2 linked regions of the Daphnia pulex genome follow. The protein of the gene in region 1 interacts with the protein of each later gene in a biochemical or structural test. Links are inferred from orthologs where the notes say so. Each region holds a gene or a part of one and is shown in the gene's direction. Other genes may lie near its edges. The genes, in order: serine/threonine-protein kinase VRK1-like and barrier-to-autointegration factor-like.

What was found.
Region 2: of the proteins of serine/threonine-protein kinase VRK1-like (region 1) and barrier-to-autointegration factor-like, one has a biochemical effect on the other in vitro, tested with the Caenorhabditis elegans proteins (2 studies listed by BioGRID). The link is inferred for Daphnia pulex from reciprocal best matches to the Caenorhabditis elegans genes vrk-1 and baf-1.

The regions. Positions count from the first base shown.
Region 1 is NC_060018.1:12,622,642-12,627,074, forward strand, and holds the start of serine/threonine-protein kinase VRK1-like, read left to right. Parts: upstream 1-1,593; 5' UTR 1,594-1,702; exon of another isoform or gene 1,703-1,732; intron 1,733-1,808; 5' UTR 1,809-1,942; coding exon 1,943-2,111; intron 2,112-2,179; coding exon 2,180-2,238; intron 2,239-2,306; coding exon 2,307-2,376; intron 2,377-2,441; coding exon 2,442-2,867; intron 2,868-2,927; coding exon 2,928-3,107; intron 3,108-3,174; coding exon 3,175-3,481; intron 3,482-3,537; coding exon 3,538-3,801; intron 3,802-3,903; coding exon 3,904-4,352; intron 4,353-4,417; coding exon 4,418-4,433. UniProt on the Caenorhabditis elegans protein: Serine/threonine kinase that phosphorylates baf-1, thus regulating the association of baf-1 with chromatin and nuclear membrane proteins during nuclear envelope formation. May act through the egl-17 signaling pathway.
Region 2 is NC_060020.1:3,950,737-3,953,893, reverse strand, and holds barrier-to-autointegration factor-like, read left to right. Parts: upstream 1-1,479; 5' UTR 1,480-1,633; intron 1,634-1,943; 5' UTR 1,944-1,944; coding exon 1,945-2,070; intron 2,071-2,151; coding exon 2,152-2,298; 3' UTR 2,299-2,563; downstream 2,564-3,157. Other genes in the region: uncharacterized protein LOC124192967, read right to left, coding at 1-21, 94-255, 327-429, 490-866, 932-1,048. UniProt on the Caenorhabditis elegans protein: DNA-binding protein which plays an essential role in nuclear envelope formation. Required for normal chromosome segregation during mitosis. Associates with the nuclear lamina via its interaction with LEM domain containing proteins emr-1 and lem-2.

The DNA.
Region 1 (4,433 bases):
CTTTCGTGATGACCCGTATTGATCCGTGTGTCTGTATTATCTCTCTGTATTATCTGTCAAAAATATATGAAAAAAAACTGAGAAAAATAATTTCGACTTAGAGCGTCACACGATGAGTCATCCACCGTTACTACTATTATGTGCGAGCGCTCTGACTGAAAATCTGGAACAATGGCTTCCACACTCACACAGAGAGAGATAAGGGCTACTAGGGGGGGATTCTCTATACCCTTATCATTATTTGGGTATTATAATATCGGGTGTAGGATGGAAAAATAAATTCCGACTCGAGTTACTACACTGGCACATCACCTGATACAACATGGTTGAAACAGACGACTGTGTAGAGATGCTAATTCAATTAAGAGAGCGTGAAACCGTGTCATAGACGCTGAAGGGACGGACTCTCTAAAAGCCGTTAAGACGGATGAACATGACTCAGGAAACGGAAGCTGGAAGGGTGAGAGGGGGAAATCGATCACGTGGCCTATTGTTGAAACCTCAATAGGTGACTAATCAGCAAGTTTCTCCCCCCTAGCAGCACGAAAGTCTCTTCAGCTGTCTGTCAAATATTTATTCCCCTCCCGATTTTTTCGTCGTTGTGTCTGTGACGTCAGCTCTTTGTCGATGAGTAACGGACGCCATCGATGCGTCATCCGGAGCAAAGCAGCAGCAGCAGCGGCTCTGATTTCCCAGAGACTCTCTTGTTGCGCCGATATTCATCTGTCGATCCGCTTAACTTTCTACTTACTCTGCGAAGGTGTATTAGTTTTAATCTTTTTACCAGAGACCAGAATTTTATTTTTTCGATTGACATTTACAATTCCGGATGAGTTCAATTCCCAGGAGCCAATGAAAAATAAAAATTTATGTTTTTTTAAAAAAAATCCTTTGGGATTATATTTTAAGGTCAACATCTGGATTCGATTGATTTATGATTTGACCAGAGAGTATTAGTCATCATTTTCCACCCCTTGAATGAAAATCAACTCTCTCTCCACCACCAACAACAACCCATTGTCATCATTATAATAGACGATTTATACAAGCCTACTCTCCCCCGATACTGGGGAAAAAAGTTAATCATGATAGATAGAAGAAAAAGGCTTTTTTGTAATATTTATTAGGCGCTGCTGCATTGATTCGATTGGCCCGGCTGACGTCGGTCGTTTAAGGCCATAAATTATTGGCCGATAAGAGAAAAAACGGGAACCCACGGGGGACGTGTAGTATAAAAATAACAGGAAACTGCGTCAGCACACACACACATGCACTTTCCTGACATAAACAACACATCTGAAATGTGTTTGAGACGTTAATAGGCTTCGCCGCTATATACAGCTAGAGAGACTCGAGCGCTTCTAATTAGCATACAAATGTGTGCTGGGCTTTTTAGACGGCGCGCACGAGAGATGTCGCTCCGCCCACGTTCGTTTTCAATCAAATCGTTAATGGCCATCACCGAATTGGGTTTTCTTTTTTGATCGAAATTTAATTCGATTTGGTTGGAAAAAGAACAAACAAGGTTTTATATTATGCATGCATTATTTATTTTTAAAAATCGTTTTTGTTTGGGAAAAGAAAGCGCCACCTCGACCGTAAACGGCAATGCCGCAAGGCAAACAATTAAAATGGCGGATACCAGTTCAAAATAGACGAAAAATAACCGCCGGCCGTTATAAAGATCAACTGACGGCTCATTGTAAGTTAATCCTTACATTCTGATTATTAAGTAATTTCTCGTCAATTTCGACTGGCAATTGAGTGGTGAATGAACACTTTTCAAGTTGACAAACTGTTGTTGCTAGGTGCAAGGGAACAGACGATTGTTTTGGCCTTGTGATTTACTGACATCGAAGAATATATATACCGACTTGTGGGTGTATCAATGTCCTGGATACGTTGACGGTTTTTAATTTTCAGAGTTATTTCAACTAAAACAATGCCTCCCAAAGCTGCAGCCTCTCGGCCTGCTGCTGCCAAGAAAAAGGCTCCAATACATAAACTCCCAGACCCAATCAGGGATGGAGAAATTGTTCGTGATATCCAGAAGAGACAGTGGAGGCTCGGCAAATCCATTGGTGTCGGGGGGTTTGGAGAAATTTATGCAGGTATATTCAGTCTGTTCTGAGTTAAATGAAACATCATCTAAATCAACATTTTTTTTCTTCTTTTTCAGCGTCTGACAATATTGATAAACAAGTAAACGCAGCCGATGCACAATATGTGATCAAAATTGTAAGACAAGATTCTTCATCTATTATTCAAGATGTTTGTTTGGATTGACACTTTTGACTATTTCACAGGAACCTCATTCCAATGGTCCGTTATTTGTGGAAATGAATTTTTACATTCGGGTAGCTAAAGCAGATTTCAGTAAGTTGTCAACAACATTCTGAAGCTTTTTCGTTATCAATGAGCTATTATTTCTTTGTCATTAGTTAATGAGTGGATCACTTCTAATAAACTCAAATTCCTGGGTATGCCCCGATTCATCGGATCTGGCTCGCACGAATACAAAGGTGAAAAGTATCGTTTCATGGTCATGCAGCGATTCGGCATCGATGTCCAGAAACTCTTCGATGCCAACCAGCGTCGTTTCCCTCTCAACACGATTCTCAACTTGTCGCTGAGAATTATTGACGTATTGGAATATATCCACGCCAAACAGTACGTCCACGCCGACATTAAAGGCTCCAACTTGTTGTTGGGATTCGGCAAAGGTGGTGAGAAGCAAGTGTGGCTCGTCGATTTTGGACTTGCTTGTCGCTACACGGTCGATGGTGTCCATAAAGAGTACAAGCCGGACTTGAGGAAAGCTCATAATGGAACTATCGAGTTCACCAGTCGTGACGCTCACATTGGAGGTACATAATTTGCTTCAAAATAATTATAGTTTTTTGGTAAACATTCTTTTTTGTTTCCAGCCAATGGACGTCGTGGTGACTTTGAAATTCTTGGCTACAACATGCTTCAATGGATGTGTGGGAGACTTCCGTGGGAAAGTAATTTGACGGATCCAGAGTTTGTTGCCAGTCAAAAGAACAAGTACATGTCCAACATCCCGGCTCTCATCCAGGAATGTTTTCCAGCCAAGAACGCCCCTGGTAACTAGAAATCGATTGTGTTTTCATCTTCGTAACTTAATTTCTTTTTTTCAAAAACAAAAAACAGCCGTCATGGTGAAGTTCCTGGAAATGGTGGCGAATCTAAAGTTCGAGGAGATGCCCAACTATGACAAGTTCAGGCAATTACTTCGGCAAGGCTTGAAGGATGGCGGTTTCCCTGACGACGGGGCGCTCGTATTCCCTCATCTCAACAAAGGAGCGGGTAGCAGCAGCGTGCGTAGTTCACCCAAGAAACGCTCGGCTCCACCGCCGGTGCCAACCGATGACGAAACGGAAAACGGAAATGTCAAGCAAAAGGCCAAAACCAGTATTAAAAAGAGTCGAGAGCCTTGCTCACCCAAAGTCACCAACCGGTAATGTCAATTTAATACTTATTCATTTTTACTATGTGTATACTAATTTCATTTAGTTGTTCAACTCGTAGGACGACGAGACGGGCCAATATGTCGCCAGATTGTGATACGACAGATTCCAGCAGTCTCAGCAGTACGACATTGGCTGTAGTCTCTAAAAAGAGATCGGCTGAGAAGAAGGAGCGTTCCAAAGAATTGTCGGCTAAATTAGACACGTCGCTTAGCAATCCCACCCCGGCTATGCTGGCCATTTTGGCCCGGATGCGTAGCAAAGAGGAAACACCTTCACCGGCCCTTCCATCGAAAAGGAAACAAGCCAGGTTTGAATAATTGAAGGGTTTTCCTTTAAACAATTTTGTACTTGTACTTAAATAAACGATTCATTGATAATTTACTTTGGCATTTTAAAATTTACTAAAAAGGTTGGACAGCCGTTCGTGTAGCCCAATCGATCTCGATTCCAGCTCGATCCTGACTCCCGCCATGGAAGAAGTCATCCGCGTGAGAGAAGTGCGTAAAAGTATGGAACAGAGTGGACATTTTTTCACGCCCATCTGCAGTCCGATGACTACCACCAACCCGACTCCCATCAACCCTTTCCAGAGTCCGACTTTGACGCCACGAAACATGGACCTGTACATGACCATGGATTGTACGCCGGAAGAAGAGGAGGAGCCTCGACGGAAGAAGAGCAACGGCAGTGGCAAGGGCTTCGTGACTCCATCCTCTCCTTCTAAACGTGTTCTGAGAAATCGACTTCACGAATCTGTGATTTTGGACGATTCCACATCATCGTCCGTCAATTCCAGCACCGCTGGTGAATCGTCGTCGTCCACCACACCCGATAACAAACGCCGAGTTGTCCACAGACGTAATTGAATCCTTAAAATTTGAGTTATTCATTTAAAACGAGTTGATTATTTCTGTTTTTTTTAGACAAGTACAGAGTGGT
Region 2 (3,157 bases), on another chromosome or scaffold:
GTTACTATTTTCAATCAGCATCTAGATAAAGAATTAATGATGTCGTTTTCCAAATGTGGTCCTTTAAATTATTACAAATTCCCAAAAGTTTACCTGAATGACTTTAGCTGAGTTCTGAAGTTTACTGCAATTTTGCCGATCGTTTCGGGATGAAGCAGTAATATTAACTGGCATCAGTGTTGGTGCCATCACTATAGAAATATTGCTAGCATCCATAAGATTCTTTGATGAATTAGAAGCTACAGCTTCAAAAAACTACTCAGAAATAAAAATAAAATAGTTTAGTCAAGATCTATTGTTTAGTTTACACTGAAAACATTTCATACCTGCAATAAGTAGCATAGTGTAGCCAAAGCTTGCTGTGGAATAAGCAAGCATGTCAAGTGAAGCATTTGTGAAGCTTTTTCTAAGCTTTCCATCTGAACACATCTACAAAAGAATAAGTTATTTGATTGGTTCTACAAGTGCTATAAAAGTAACTTAACATACTTGAGTAAAACATCATGCAGTTGATAAGGAATCAATGGATCTGGAAGCTCTCTTAGGAACTGCTTCAAAATGTTGGCCAAATCTATTACATCATGACTGGATTTGAACTCTTCTTTTCTCTCCAACTGACGCTTTATTTCACGCTGCCTGCAAGCAGATCCAGCTTTCCTAAACAAGCCTTCGGTATGGACACCCTTCAAAATTGCTTGGCAAGATTGCACAACAAATGTGGGAACTTGTACTAAAATATCTCCTTTAGCACACACTGGTTTAGATCCATCTGAGCTATTTCCTAATTCTGATTCAACCATGATAAGAACTTGTTCACACTCCAGCAATTCCAATGGCTGACAAAACAGAGTTTTCTTCTGTGGATCCTAAAATTAGAGAAAAATCATTTTTATAAAAGAAATCTGTGTCACAATATAATATTGATAAATACATTGTTTCTTGTTGGTTTCCTCCATCTACCAGTCTCTTTGATTCCATGTTTCTTTAACTCTGACCAAACTAACGCGTTAAAAGTAATATTGTCTTCTACATTGAAAATGTGATGCATGATGGATCACTTAGCTTTCTTACAACCCAATCCTACGTGTTTTCAACATGCAATATGTAGAAAACGGTTTACAACTGCCCGGGAAATATCACGAATTGCCTACGTACTCGACCTAAGTTCACTTTACTGCACAAAAGCAGCAAAAGTTTTTTATCTCTTTTTTTGTCGTTTTCAAAATGCGTATTTTAAACCAATCAAATGACGTTTAAAGATTAGACCACGCCTAGACCTGACGATGCCAAATTCTTTTAACTTTACTAGGCCTAGGGTGCGCAGCGCTTAGTATTTAGAAGTGTAAAAAGTACATTTTTAAAAATTTAAATTCAGTTACAATTTTTAATACTGAATAATAATTATTCAATTTATTTTATAGCTTTGATTTGCTTAATTTTTGGATATATAAATTTGATAGGTGTTTGGCATCAATGTTCTACTGACTTTCCTAAAAAGGAATTTGAATAGAGTCTGCAGCTGCAACCCAACAAGCGTTGTCTAACGTCACGCAGAGTTAGAAAACTGAAATCAATTTCTTCCTTGTCCATTCCATTTAGTCCTGATTTAGTCATTTTGACAATTTCTTCAGAGGTAATTTTAATTAACAATTGATATCCATTCTGTCAAATTCTATTCTTGTAAAGCTAGTGAAAGTGTCCTCCTGTTTCTGGGCAACGCACACCTAAGACAGAATAACGGTTTTACCATTCTTCATTTCTTGGCTTGAATGAAATGTTCATATTTTACATTTGAATAACATCTACGAATTTCCCCAAAAATCGTGTATTGTAGTGTTGATTCTTGGTGTGCCTTCCAAAGAATGTTGTTATAAACTAGATTTGCTAGTGATTCTTTGTCAGTTCTTCAATGCCAAGAGTGACATTTTTATTTTGAATTGCAGAATGTCGTCCACCTCACAGAAGCATCGTAACTTTGTAGCTGAGCCTATGGGAGAAAAAGCTGTTACAGATCTTGCTGGTATTGGAGGAGTGCTAGGAGATCGTTTAGAAAAGAAAGGCTTTGATAAGGTAAAAAAAAATAAATTACACTCTCTCAATACCAGCAAATCAATATAATTCAATTTAATAAAATCCATTTAACATATGCAGGCATCTGTTGTATTGGGACAATTCCTGGTCTTAAAGAAGAACAAAGAGCTTTTCGTGGATTGGCTCAAAGACACAGCTGGAGCCAACGCCAAACAAGCAGGAGATTGTCACCAATGTTTGTCAGATTGGTGTGATGAGTTTTTGTAATCTTTTACCATTGATGTTGATCGGGTGTTCTGCTATCAGTCTCAATTCACCACCACCTATCGTAAATACTTCCAGCACACACAGCATACTCTTAAAACTTTTAATACCTGCTCGCCGCTGCCTTGGTGGAAGGGCACTGCATCGTATATATTTTAATTACGCATGTATGTATGTCCCTATGAAATTAACATACAAGTTATATTCTGGAAAACCAGCCATTAGTGGTTCTTCTAAATAAAAATCAAAATATAATTAGTTCAATGTGTATTTTTTTTTCAATCAGACAATGTTTGAAATTGAGTTTTTTTGTGGGAATAGGGGAAGGTGGGGAATAGGGATCTTTCACGCACACTAAGTCGGGGCCCTAATAATAGACTTTTTGTTGTTCGAATCGTAGATTACATTGAGAGAACATGGTTGCAGCAGCAAGAATAGCAAAATCTACCCAACTGATATCGTCACACATTTATCCACTTGTATTTCTTTTTTTGTATTTTTCACTTGACTTCTTTTCTTCCACTTGTTCCTTCTCTTCAGTCAACGATTAGTAGGCGATGACAATTCGACGCACCCAAAGGGAAAAACCGAACGTCTTCTTTCATTCATACTTACCAAGTAGTTTTTCCTAGTCTCGTAATAATAACTACAGTTGGAAAGGGACAAGACGGGAGGGGATTCAAATTTAAAAAGAACGCACGGCAAGCAACAAGGACGTTTGTTATGTGGGAGGAGGTGGGTGTAAAACATTATCAGTAATTTCCGGAATAAAACTTTTCCCGACTGATTTTTCACAGACATGCACGAGAACCCAAACTCTTGACATTTTTTAAAAACAAACAATAAGATTTCCAAACGCCAC